Daphnia pulex: one gene and its partner. The protein of the gene in region 2 interacts with the protein of the main gene of each other region in a biochemical or structural test. Links are inferred from orthologs where the notes say so. Each region holds a gene or a part of one and is shown on either strand. Other genes may lie near its edges.

The links.
Region 1: the proteins of protein SHQ1 homolog (region 2) and H/ACA ribonucleoprotein complex subunit 4-like are reported together in a solved structure, tested with the Homo sapiens proteins (2 studies listed by BioGRID, with this or other methods). The link is inferred for Daphnia pulex from reciprocal best matches to the Homo sapiens genes SHQ1 and DKC1.

The regions. Positions count from the first base shown.
Region 1 is NC_060025.1:6,907,031-6,914,028, forward strand, and holds H/ACA ribonucleoprotein complex subunit 4-like, read right to left. Parts: upstream 4,660-6,998; 5' UTR 4,584-4,659; coding exon 4,571-4,583; intron 4,375-4,570; coding exon 4,235-4,374; intron 3,965-4,234; coding exon 3,748-3,964; intron 3,692-3,747; coding exon 3,576-3,691; intron 3,382-3,575; coding exon 3,132-3,381; intron 3,072-3,131; coding exon 2,911-3,071; intron 2,847-2,910; coding exon 2,607-2,846; intron 2,541-2,606; coding exon 2,437-2,540; intron 2,377-2,436; coding exon 2,232-2,376; intron 2,173-2,231; coding exon 2,035-2,172; intron 1,969-2,034; coding exon of another isoform or gene 1,966-1,968; exon of another isoform or gene 1,863-1,965; coding exon 1,806-1,862; 3' UTR 1,737-1,805; downstream 1-1,736. Other genes in the region: chromatin complexes subunit BAP18-like, read left to right, coding at 1,029-1,077, 1,143-1,203, 1,267-1,368, 1,436-1,709; eukaryotic translation initiation factor 4E type 2-like, read left to right, coding at 5,119-5,147, 5,212-5,287, 5,415-5,467, 5,534-5,738, 5,804-5,956, 6,017-6,153, 6,242-6,284.
Region 2 is NC_060022.1:3,499,656-3,505,836, forward strand, and holds protein SHQ1 homolog, read left to right. Parts: upstream 1-2,784; 5' UTR 2,785-2,851; coding exon 2,852-3,721; intron 3,722-3,790; coding exon 3,791-4,075; intron 4,076-4,137; coding exon 4,138-4,392; 3' UTR 4,393-4,489; downstream 4,490-6,181. Other genes in the region: dipeptidase 1-like, read left to right, coding at 458-711, 785-938, 1,010-1,142, 1,214-1,364, 1,437-1,506, 1,581-1,757, 1,815-1,975, 2,034-2,169 and 1 more; UHRF1-binding protein 1-like, read left to right, coding at 5,198-5,241, 5,316-5,517, 5,585-5,776, 5,841-5,945, 6,010-6,133. UniProt on the Homo sapiens protein: Required for the quantitative accumulation of H/ACA ribonucleoproteins (RNPs), including telomerase, probably through the stabilization of DKC1, from the time of its synthesis until its association with NOP10, NHP2, and NAF1 at the nascent H/ACA RNA.

The DNA of each region.
Region 1 (6,998 bases), on a different chromosome or scaffold from region 2:
ACCGCTGTCCAACTTGCTTGGGTCAGTCAGGGATTCATAACGGATCTTGACTAGGGCATTTGAGGAGTTGGAGATCGACTATAGAAGGTGTTGATAATCAAGCTCATAAGCTGAGCAATCTTGGCCTGGGATGTGAAAGTCTCAGCTTCGTCTTCCATTTGAACTTCTCCAGGCATCTAAAAAGGAAAAGGAAAATATTTCAGTAAGAAATGTTTGTCAATTGTGGTAGATCACACTCAAAAATAGAAATTCTACATATATCTATGGACTTGAGGCATATCAAAAAATGTGTAAATAACCAATTTGTTTGTCTAAACCAGTACAGTAGTAAAACTTACTTTGCTTTAAAACGTAAACAAACAAACCGGACGCTTTTCTGTTCACGTTTGGTGGGGATCTACATGTATACAAGGCCGCCGGGCAGTCGTAAAAATTGCCACCAAATTCGCTTCTTGTTAGGCCTGCAAACTATAGCTTTTGGGTTGACACACATCAAGCCGGGAAAGTGAGCCCGTTCGACTTTGAATCGCTGTGTAAAAAATACAGCTATTAGTATATCTTCATGTGATCCATTTTGAAGACCTTTCTTTGTTTAATCTCTTTCATACAAAAATTTTCGTGATTTGTAAGACATTTACGTAAATTTTGTGTTAATGTTTAGTGGCGTTTTGAATTTTGCAGTTTGAATTGCAGCGGTGGCGTTTCGAAACTGAGCCCCGTTTGACTTAGAATCGCTGTTTTAAAAAATAAATCTATTATATCTTCGTAAAATGTGATCCATTTTAAAGAGATTTCTTTGTTTAATCAAATGCCTACAAAAATTTGCGTGATTGTTGTCACAATTACGTAAATTTAAGTGTCTAATTACTGCAATTGAATTTTGCAGTTTGAATTGCAGCGGTGGCGTGTCAAAACTGAGCCTCCTTCGACTGTGACTAGAATCCCTACGGGAAATTATGTTTTTTTATACCAAATAATTGACTTTGTGGTGAATTTTCTGGGTTAGTTGTTTGTAAAAGTGCACAAGAATGAACTCTGCTAATAAGGTTGCCGATATATTTGGAGCTGCAGGATTAGGTAAAATACACATGGTGTATGTAGGTAATTGTTGAATGAGTGATTTCAGCCATTATTTTTCTTAGCTTTCAGTACGTTGGGGAAATTGACCATGCAGCTACATTCCTCAGAAAATGCCAATGCTGGGTAAATAATTTAAAGTAATTTACTTTTGTAACACTGTTGTATTTTTAATTTTTTCTTATACAGGTCAAAATGGAGTGAAGATGAAATTGAAATGTTGAGAAGTTCCATTAAGCGCTTTGGAGAAGATCTTGAAAAGATTTCTGAACATATTAAAGACAAGACAGTGTAAGTTGATTGCAAAAATCATATGTCAGTGTTCAAATTTCAAATTTTATTTGCTTCTATTTATTAGGACACAAATTCATGGTAGTTTGAAGAAAAAAACTTTTGAGGCAGCAGGTATTCCTTTGTCCAAAGTCATCAGCCAACCAGTTGTTCAACCAAGTCCACTCCAGAATATTAATTCAAGTCCTCAGCAAGCAGTTGTAGTTGTTCAACAACAGCCCCAAATGATTAATAACAAGTCAACAGCTGAAGTGACATTGAACATGTTAAATGCCTCTGAAAATGAAGTTGATGTTGAAGGGTTAAATTTTGAAGGAGCAAATGAAGTTGTCACATCTTGAAACTTTCTGATAAATTAATACACAGCATAAAAATGAAATGAATTGTATTTTCGAATTTTCTTGCAAACATAATATTACAAATTATTTCAATTATAATTAATCATCTTCCCGATCGACATCTTTCTTTTTCTTTTTTTTCTTGGCAGACTCCTCCTAAATAGAAATATGTTCACATTACTAATGCATACCAAATTACTCGGCGAATAATATTTGCAGTATGTTTTCATTTAGGTAATTTTCGTCAGAAATATTCCGTTCACTACTTTCATTAAATAATCACGACACCTTTGTTTAAAAAAAAAATTAATTGACAAGTTTAATTTACCTTGATTGTTGATGTGTCCACTGCAATTGAAAGGTCTTCATTTTCAGCTGTTTTATCTTTCTTCTTCTTTTTCTTCTCTTTGGTTTCAGGAACCGATTCTACGGTGGCATCAAGAATGCTTTCATTACCCTGCGGCTCCTGAAAATCATCCATAAATGATTAAGACATCATTATTTCACAAGAGTATAAACACTTACCCGGTCTTTGTCCTTTTTCTTCTTCTTCTTCTCCTTGGTTTCCGTCATGGATTCTGACAACGGATCAGCAACGGCGCTCGTTTCACTTAACTTTCTTTTTCGTGCCTCAGCATCTTCAGTTGGTTCAACCTTTTCTTTTTTAACGCTACAGAAAAATATAATATTATTGAAAAATTTGATACAAATACTGCGTTGAATTACATACTTTAGGTCTACATAAGATGTCAACCAATCTTTAGGTGTCTTGTCATTAGGTTTGCCAAACTTATCCAAGAGTCCCTGTTTCACCATACCCTTCTTGACGGAAGCCTAAAATTAAACAAATACATACATATACATACAAGTAACGCCAATGTAAACTATATCAATTTTTACTTTAGGTCCAAGTCCCCATTTCCTGGGATAAGTGTCACGCTCCATGACAACACGTTTAATTTTGGCAACAATACCATGGTCACATGAAGCCATGGTTGTTGTCGTCATCAAAGCAATGGCGAGAGCCACTGCTTCTCCTTTGGTTGTTACTATAACAATCTCTTCATTTAGTTCGATACCATTTTCGTACCGCAATACACCAGGCAACATGATTTTAGCTCCATAGCAAACGGCATTAACCTGTTATATATTTTTTTAACACATTATTATAAAGAATATTATAGATAAATATTAACACACTTACAGCACTGTCTTTCATGATTATTCGCTTGTGAGACATCATCAATGCCTCTAATGGACGAATAACCCGCCGCAGATATGTTTCGTCCTTATGATTATCATGTAACCACTGCGCATCGATTACATCGTGCATAGTCATTAACCCTTCTTTTTCACTTTGGATACCTTATAAAAAATAAAATCTTCATCTTAAGAACACACACAAAAAGAAACTTCCTGGCTTACCAGAACGAACTCTTCTGAGTTCCGCCATCTGAGCTCCTACGCCTAGCACCAAACCGAGATGGACACAGTGGGTACGAACGTAAGTTCCGGCTTCACAGCTAACCCAATAGATACCCATTTGTCTCTCGGCATCGTACTCGTAAAATTTACTCTCGTAAATGGTTCGCACACGAAGTTGTCGCTTAACAGCCGAGATCAGTGGTGGACGCTGAAACAAAGCTCCAGTCAACTTCTCAAGAGCTCGAGGAATCTTAATAAATAAAAAAAATATATACAAAATTAGTATTTATAAAGATCAAGTTTCTAACTTAAAAAATTAACAGAATTCAGTTAAATGCTTCATTATCTTTAATTATCTTCAGTCATTTCAGTCCACTACTTTCGATAAATTAATCATTAGCATCTTTAGCATAAGGCTTTCAACTAGAAGGGTCAAGAAACTACCTGATTGTTATCTTCAACTGCAGAATGAAGCTTAAATATGGCAACATACTCTTTGCCAGCTCCCTGCTGAGATTTGACCAGCCTTGTAGCACGATCAATGCAAACAATCAAACACCCTGTATAATATTCAATTAGTAAAGTCCATGGGATTTTCTGAGTGCTATCAACATACCTGTAACTTTAGGGTCCAATGTTCCTGAATGACCCGTCTTTTCACATCTTAGAATCCTCTTAATCCAGGCAACTACTTCGTGAGAGCTTGGGTTAGATGGCTTGTCAAGATTAATAAAACCGCCATGAATATAATCTTTAATTGGCCTCTTCAATGGTGAACAACCACTTGGAAGAGGTGTATAATGATTTGTCCTTGTGTTTAACTTGTCAAAATTCTGAAAAAAAAAGATGATTTAGAAAATGTTCACATTTCTTAATAAATAACAAGGGAAAAATTAATATCTATAAAGATCAAGTTTCAAACTAGAAAAATTTTAAGAATTTAGTTTTAAATGCTTCATTATCTTTGAGTGTCTTCAGTCTTTTCAGTCCACTACTTTCGATAAATTAATCATTAGCATTCTTAGCATAATGCTTGTATAGATAGATACTAAAATAAATTATTTTGAGAACATCTACATTTAATTTAATATTTAACAACATACCTTTAGTAACAGCGGCCATTGTGAACAGTCCAATTTTGCTACTGGTTTTTCTGATGGCTCCAACACAAAGTCTGAATCTCCTTGAATATCTCCCAAGGACTTTCTTGACTTCTTTCCACTTTGTTTCTCTCCTAGGACTTCTGAAACACAGGAATGCTAACATTAACCGACACGTGTTACCAACATTAATCCGTAGATCACAGAATTAACCAAATTAATGTAAATTTCGAATCATACTATTTGTGCAGCAAACTACAATGCATCTTTTCCATGTGAAAACACATAATCGATCCCTATAACTAGCTTGTAAAATTTATATTATGTGATGGCGCTTACCAGATGAATGCATCGTGCTTCACACGTGGTTCGAAGTCCTGTCTTTGATCTAATGTGTTGAAAAACCTCTGCTACAAAAAAAGAAACCAATGAGCGGAAGTGTTGAGCGTTGCCATTTGATTTTTGATTCTTATTTTTGGAAAAAAATTAATCACGAAGTCACTTTTTCTGCTATGACATGTATTTCCAATATTTTACTTGATTTTAAAATTCAATGGTTCAAATTATCTCTTTATTACCATTACATTAGAAGTTACAATAACTATAACATCTTTCTCCCGTGGGCCGTGGCGCTTTGGCTTTGGGAAGGGTACTCTAGTGTGTGGCGCCAAAACCTCTTGAAGGTCACCTGGTGGCAACTGGTGGCAATTTTTCGCTACTCTATAGTGTGGGTACTGTTTAGTGTTTTCACCATCTAAAATTTGTACAACATTTCTGGACATACTGCTTGTTTCTTTCTTTAGTCTTTCTACTACATGCTGCAAATTGGTGTATAAATTAAGTGAACAATTTGACTGTAACACTCCGATTTCGTAAACTATTTACAAATGGCCCTTAATAACAATAAATTTGATGCGTAAGTTTTCAAATTTTATACATGTTTTAATAGAATTTGCGTTTACTTTGTTGCTTTTCGACAGGTTGAACAACAGCGAAGACAGTGATGACGACGAAACTTCATTCAGTGAAGAAAGAAAGAAAAAGGATTTAATTTTGGTGAGATATTAACTGCATAATACACAAAAAATTATTGTAATATCTATTAACTCTATGTTAATGATGTGATAATTGCGATAGACGAATTTATGTGCTCACTTACCCATTTTTTCCTACTAATTTAAAGGTTAATTTTTTTCAGCAACCCATTCAAGTTCCTCGAGAAGAACATCCACTCCAGTACACATGAAAATGATATTACTTTTATTAGTACATGTTAATTATAGAAATACCATTTGTTTTTAGATACACATACTGTTTGTGGTTTAGTCGGAGAGCTCCTGGAAAACATGCAGCACCCCAAAGCTTTGATCAGAATCTAAGAATGGTTGGACGTTTTGCTTCTGTAGAACAGTTTTGGTCATACTATTGCCATCTGGTCAGGCCTTGTGAACTCTCTGGTCACAGTGACTTTCATTTATTTAAAGATGGAATCAAACCAATGTGGGAGGTTGTATTATTAAATAATAATAAGGGTGGTGAAGTGTTTATTAACCTACTTTTTTTTCCCAACAGGATGATGCCAATCGTTGTGGTGGTAAATGGATTGTGCGTCTTCGAAAAGGTTTAGCCTCACGTTGTTGGGAGAACTTAATATTAGCTATGTTAGGCGAACAATTTATGGTAGGCGACGAAATATGTGGAGCTGTCGTCTCAATTCGATTTGCTGTAAGAAAAATGTTTTTTGTGTTAAAAATCATATAATTTATATAAATATATATATTTTAGGAGGATATTATTTCGGTATGGAATCGAATTGCAAGTGATCAGGCTACTACCAACCGAATTCGAGATACACTTCGTCGAGTCTTAAACCTTCCACCGAACACAATACTTGAATACAAAAACCACACGGATTCTCTAAAGTACGGAATGGTGGTCTCGCCATTCAAATGAGAATTCATAATCTTTTTCTCTTTCTTTCCTCTACCTCTTCTCCCTTCAAATCTCCAGGGACAATTCCAGTTTTCGGAATACCGATGTCTTTGTCCGATAAAGACACAATATTTTACATCTCAAGCGGAATATAAATAAGTTGAAAGTTGACCTGGTCACGGTGTTCATTACCGATACTGTTATTTCTAGCTTTATAAAAGTTTGATTCAAATGTGTCTAACATTCTTCGTTGAATAATCTCTAAATACGAGTTTATTCAATACTTTTATGGAAGAACCAACTTAAGCGTCAAATGTTGTAATGATTACTTATTAGCTTTACACTGTAAAGCATGGGAGCTTGTGGTGAAACTATTTGTTGTTAATTGATTTTTCCTCAAAACCACACATTTGACAGACGGTTGATTTATTAGCTTGAGATGCTACTAACACGGAGTAGTACATTCAGCCTAGAATTAAGAAATGCGCTAGATTTTTCAGGTGAGAAACATGCGTAATGTATGTGGAATAGGGTGATGAACGGTTATATTAAATGAGAAAAGTGGAAATCAAAAATCAACATCCATTGTAGCTCACCGCTCGACGAACGTCAAAATTTTGCTGGTGATACTTCGATTCGGAATTGTAAGTAGTGATTTACGATAAACAAGGTTTCACGGTGAAATAGATTGCGAAATATAATACTGAAATTAACAAAAGAGGAAAATGGAAAGCAACCTTACTTATTTAACATCAACAAATTGGCACACGTCGAGACACCGAAATACGAATCAAATGTAAACAAACAAAAGGACGATGGCGGACCATCGCAAAAT
Region 2 (6,181 bases):
TGCGCATGTATATAAATCATCTGGAAAATCCCAATTTCTTGTTATTATACCCGATGAACAAGCGTGGCCTTCAATCTATACATGATTTTCATGATGATAGGAAAACCAATCGTATTTTTAGCCGTCTTATTTGAACGGTTGTTGCGCAACCGACTTTGTTTATGTTAGATTTTGAAACTTTGTTGTCAAGTGCAAGAAATGTGGTCGCTGAGAAGGGGAACTTGTTTCCGCCAACGAAGCAGTTTTACAATGTTAGTATAGGTAATAAGTTCCAGACCCTTCTTCGTGATCTTGAAACTATTTTTAGCCTGGCCTCACAGATATTTGTTCTAGTTGTCCCCGCTTTTCAGTGAACTGTATGCCCCCACTCCGAGTCATTGCTCATCCAGCCTCTTGGCCGACAAGTTCACCAATGAAAAATTATTTTTAAAATTTAGAATTGATTTGAAAAATAAAGATGGAAAGAGTGTTGAGCGCGTTGATCGTTGTGTTGCTGGCGGTTAGTTTTGACGGAGTGTCAGGATTTCCCTGGAAGTTGATTCACAGGTCCATTGACGAAAATGTTGGAATTACATTGAATCAAATGGCGGAACCTCTTACGGAGAACGAATCAAAGGTTTTTCAAACTAAATTCCATAAATTGGCCTCAAATCAAAATGACGAGCTGACAATTGCTCGTCAAATTCTCGAGCGCGTTCCTCTCATTGACGGGTATGTCCACTTTGAAATAATTCTCCGCTTTGAAGCGCTATGTAGCCTATAATTTAATTCTTTGCAAATATAGGCATAATGATTTACCGCACGTTATTCGACTCCTGGCCGAGAGTCAACTGGCTAGCTTCAATTTGACAGATCTTGCAGATAAGAATCCTTGGAAATCTGATCCTTCGTCGCATACTGATATTCTCCGTCTCCGACAAGGGAAGCTGGGCGCTCAGGTAAAACTGAATGATTCTCTCGACTATTATACATGAATTGAATCATTTTTTAATTAATCTCTCTGTCATAGTTTTGGGTGGCGTATACGAATTGCAATACTCAGCACAATGACTCGCCGCAAAAGACGATCGAACAAATTGATCTCATCTACCGCTTGATTGACTTGTATTCAGACACTTTTCAACTAGCCACCACATCTCAAGGTATTAAACATATAACTTGACACCGGTGCGGTCAACCAACTTGTGAACAATCACTTTACATTTACATATAGAAATTGAGGACATCTTTGAATCGGGTAAAATTTCCAGTCTGATCGGAGTTGAAGGTGGTCACTCCATTGGAAATTCCCTCGGTGTTTTGCGCACTTTCTATCGACTCGGAGTTCGTTACATGACTCTCACCCATTCGTGTCCGACTCCATGGTATACACATCTAATTCTTTAACTGTCATTTATTTGATCAATTATAATTTTTTTTTTAAATTATTCTTTAAGGGCTGACAATTCACAGCTGGATAACCCGGGTCAGGAACCTATTCACGACGGGCTTACCGGTTTTGGAGAAGTATATTCCTTATTTTTTAAATTGCTGTTATTCTTGATTTTTAGACAAGTTTTTGTCCGTTTAAATTTATTAAGGCAATAGTCCAAGAGATGAATCGTCTGGGCATGATGGTGGACATTTCTCATGTGTCGGTCTCGACAATGGAAGACGTATTGAACGTGTCAAAGGCGCCCGTGATTTTCAGTCACTCGGGGGCATTTTCTGTTTGCAACAATACTCGAAACGTGCCCGATCATATCCTTCGTCGATTGGTTAGTCCTACCATCAATTTTCTTTAGTCATAATTCATATAGCTTTCTGTGCTACAGGCGAAAAATGACGGAATTATCATGGTGGTATTTTACAACGAATTTATCGCCTGCGGTCAGTCGGCAAGCCTCAACGATGTGGTGCGCCACATCGAACACATTCGTAATGTTATCGGGGCAGATTACATCGGACTCGGTGGTGACTTTAACGGAGTTGACAGGTAAATTATTTATTAACAATACAAATGAGCAGGGAAAATAAGCGGTTAATATTTGAAGGGTTCCCACTGACTTGGATGATGTTTCAAAGTATCCCAACCTCTTCGCGGAATTGTTACGTCGCGGTTGGAGCGAAACAGATTTAGAAAAATTGGCTGGTAGAAATATGCTGCGCGTGATGCGTCGTGTTGAGCAGGTACAGTACTTTGTTATTTATATCACGCCACGCCTTCTTTTCAAATTAATTGTTATCAAAATGCTGATATAAGGTTAAAATGGAACTCTCATCCATGGAGCCGATTGAAGAATGGATTCCGGCCGAAGACCTCCGACCTGAGCACAAGCAATGTCTCACCGAGTACAGTTAATTTCTCATCGTTAGATTTCTTCACGGTTGATTCATCAGCAGGTTCTAAGAATTTGAACCGCGCAATTTAAATTTGTATTCTCCTCCACGCGCGCCATAGCAATCGTTTAAAATTACCCTCGCTTGATTCCGTACCAAATTCTATTATGATTGTCAATCGAAAAGAGAAACTTGCGTTTGCTTCACGCTCAGTCATCACGTCAGTTTGAATTGAATTGCTAGACTGAATTATTTGATTTCAAAGAAGATAGTATCAGGTTTGTGCAAAAATGTCTAGACTGCCAAATAAATAGCGCTTTATACATTGATAATTTCTTTTTACTGCATTAACATTTATGTAGTTAAAATTTCACGGTTAAATGTCTCTAGCGTAAATGTCGAGATATTTCTTTTTTCAAAAATCTTTTCGCGGTTTCCTAGTGTTCGTTCAATAGGTTCTCGGTAGATGAGGTTAAAGTCGCTTATTTACATGTGCTCTTTTCTTCAGTCGTCTTCTCTTGAAAATTGAAAAATGATTACACCACGTTTCAAGCTCAGCCAAGATGAAAATTGCCTATTTGTCACGATTCACGCACCCTTTTCCAAGGTATCAGACGCAGAAATTTACATGGATGGTACTGATTTTCGCTTTCATTCAAATCCCTATTACATTCGCCTTAACTTGCCGGGAGAAATAATTGAAAACGACGAGGCTAAAGCTAATTTTGATGCTGAAACAAATGAATTCAAAATCACGTGTCCAAAAGTAATAAAAGGAACACATTTCCAAGGACTGGATATGCTTACGAGTCTTCTGGCACCCAAAGGAAAAAGAAGTGTCGACAGCAAGGGAATTGAAGTGCTTGAAGAAACCTGCTCAGAAGAGGACTCGGAATCAGATTTTGATTGGTTCTTGGAGCAAAAAATTGAAGAAGAATCATCAGATTTACCAGCTAATGTTTCGAAATATGGTTTTGGCTTGAAACATTCCGGACTCTTTGCTACATTGGCTGAGGAACTGCATCAGGTTGTGGATGTCAAAAATCCTGACAACCAGTCAGCCTCAGAAAGAAGAATAGAAAGATTGGAACAAGAGAAGAGAGAATTTAATGCAGAACACTACTTGGCTGATTTTTTCCAGACTGACATGATCGATCCTCTAATTGAATACCTACCTTCAAGCAGGATTGGGGAGGAGTGGACAGAGGCAGAAACTATCCTCTTAAAAACCCTCACCAACAAAGAATACCTCCTGGATCATGATCAACTACAGTCCACATATTTGGGTTTGGTTGATATTTTGCTGGCATATTGCTACGATATGAGAACCACCATGTCCGACCCCAACGTCGAATCAGCATGGACCATAGCAAAAATTAGTGGAACTTTATCTTGGCTTGAGGTATTTTTCTTTTTCTTTGTTTATTCTCTTTCGAAATTACGCTTAATCGACTATTTGATAAAAATTTAGATTTTCACTTCGATTCGCCAAGTTGTAGATTGCTTTCTTCGTAGAAGTCTGTGTTTTCCCTTATTTCGAAACTTCAAATTGTCCATTAAAGCCATTGAAGACGCCTCAAATATTCTTAAAGAAGGGCGGACGTCAGTCTTGAGGTGTTTCTTACAAATTCATCAGCTGTTCAACAAAAGTGATCCTCGATACCTTCTTAATCAACTGTACATTCGAGACTATTGTATCTGGATACAAAAGTGTAATGACGAGACACTCGCCTCGCTAAGCCAAAGTTTAAAATCGGTAATGATTGTAATTTATGGAATACCAAATTTGTCCTGCTAATTAAATTGTCATAATTTTAGATGGAATTTACCAAAGAAGATGTTACGTTAAACCTTGTTGATCTTGAGCGGGCCGCAGTTAACCTGATGTGCTATAGTGACGACTCGTCAGAAGAATCGGACCTCGAAGAACAAATGGCCCATCTGTCACTCAAAAAGAAATCCGCTTCGAGCGCAATGCCGATTGATCTTCAGGTTGCAGCGGAAGCCGCTCGAATGAGCTCGGAATCTGATTTGGATTCTGATGATGATTCTTCATCCGAAGAAAGTGACTGATTAAAGATTCCCTTCCAATTTCTTGACTTGATGAAAAGTGTATGCACAGATAATGGAACTTCACCATAAGAGGAATACAGTTGAAACTTTTGGTATACTCCTTTTTATCATTCGAATAAAAATGTTGGCACAAGGAAGAGGAACAACATCGATCCTCCGAGTTTAAAAGGCTATTCCTTGAGCCTTAGATTTCTTTTTTCTTTATTTTTATTAAAAGCTAGACAGAACTTCTAAGAGTGTTATCGCTGCGGGCCTGGTAGAGGAATGGAAGCCGGAACTAAGACTAGCCAGTAAAATGCTTTCACATTTATGTCAGCGCCGCCTTTTTATAAAGCCCATATCAGAATTATAGTCTTTACTCTTTAGTGTCTGTAGAAATTGATAGTAAATGTTTTTTTTTTTCGTTTTTCCTGTTCTTATTTCTTAATAACAAACGAAAATGAGGACGCGTACATATTAAACACGGACATTGGATTATTTACATTTAAATTGGCTATAGATAACACTTAGCAAGATTAAATAAAACAACCTGCATAAGTTTGAACGAGAACGACTAAACAATTGTAAAAAGCAAAGTTTTTGCGTCTTTTTTATTTAAAAGAAATCGATTTTTGGCCGCCTGGGGCACGAAAGGGAAAATACGTCGTCTGTTCAGTCTTTCATTTCAGATGAGACAAGAGTGTCTCAGTTGACGGATCAGAAGAGCTTAGCTGTAGAAGTTCAAAACATTACGTCGTTTTCTCGTTATTAGTAATGTAGTGAAACCTTAATTAATTTCCCCAGTATTATTTCTTATTAACTAAGGATGACGTCTTTACTAAAGAACCAAATTATTAAGCATTTGTCCAAGTAAGATACGTTTTAAAAGATTGTTGTTGGTGCCAGTGGGCCAAACATTATTTACCTAATCTTGTCTTAAAAAGGTTCGTCAAGAATTTGTCGCCCGATAAAATAAACCTTAGTACCCTAAAAGGAGAAGGTGAGCTCACTAATCTTGAATTGGATGAGAAAGTGTTGACCAGTTTGTTGGAGCTGCCGAGCTGGTTAACCTTGGACCGAGCATGGTGCAATCGTGTTTCCATCAGAATACCTTGGACAAAACTTAAAAGTGTCCCCATATGCTTGGTATTTATTTTATATAAATAACACATTAAAATTATACTCCTGTTACATAATCAATTTTAAATTTAAGAGTCTAGATGAGGTTCATGTGTCTATGGGAACTTGTTCTGAATTGCGTCAGCCCTCCGCTAACCTAAAACCTCCAACTTATGCAGCTGGTTGGAAATATGGGTTTTCAGACAAAGTTGTTGATGGAGTTACATTGAGTGTCAACTCATTGATTATAAATTTCAAAAGCCCAGCATTTGAAGCTTCCTTGCAAGTGAGTCATAGACCCAGTATCATATTTAGGTTACATATTACATAATTACACTTTTCGAATGCAGTTTTCCCGTATTCTACTAGAGTCAGCGTCTCCTACTTGGCAACACGGAGATTTGCGATTTTCTCGGTTGAAGGATACCGACCTAGGCTTGATTTTGTTGTTTAAGGTATTTGAATAAATGATCTAAATCTTTATTAAATTTTGGAACCTAACTATTTGTTCATTTTCAGGAATTGCAATGGCAGACTCTTCGGTTGGAAGCACGGTCGACGACTGGTGACCTCTCCTTACCCCCTCTTCGTTTGATAACGAATCAGTCAAAGTGCCGAATTACAATCAAAAAGCGCCTTTTAGGTATAGTTTGCATAAATTTTGATCAACTACTTTGGAATCACTGAAATT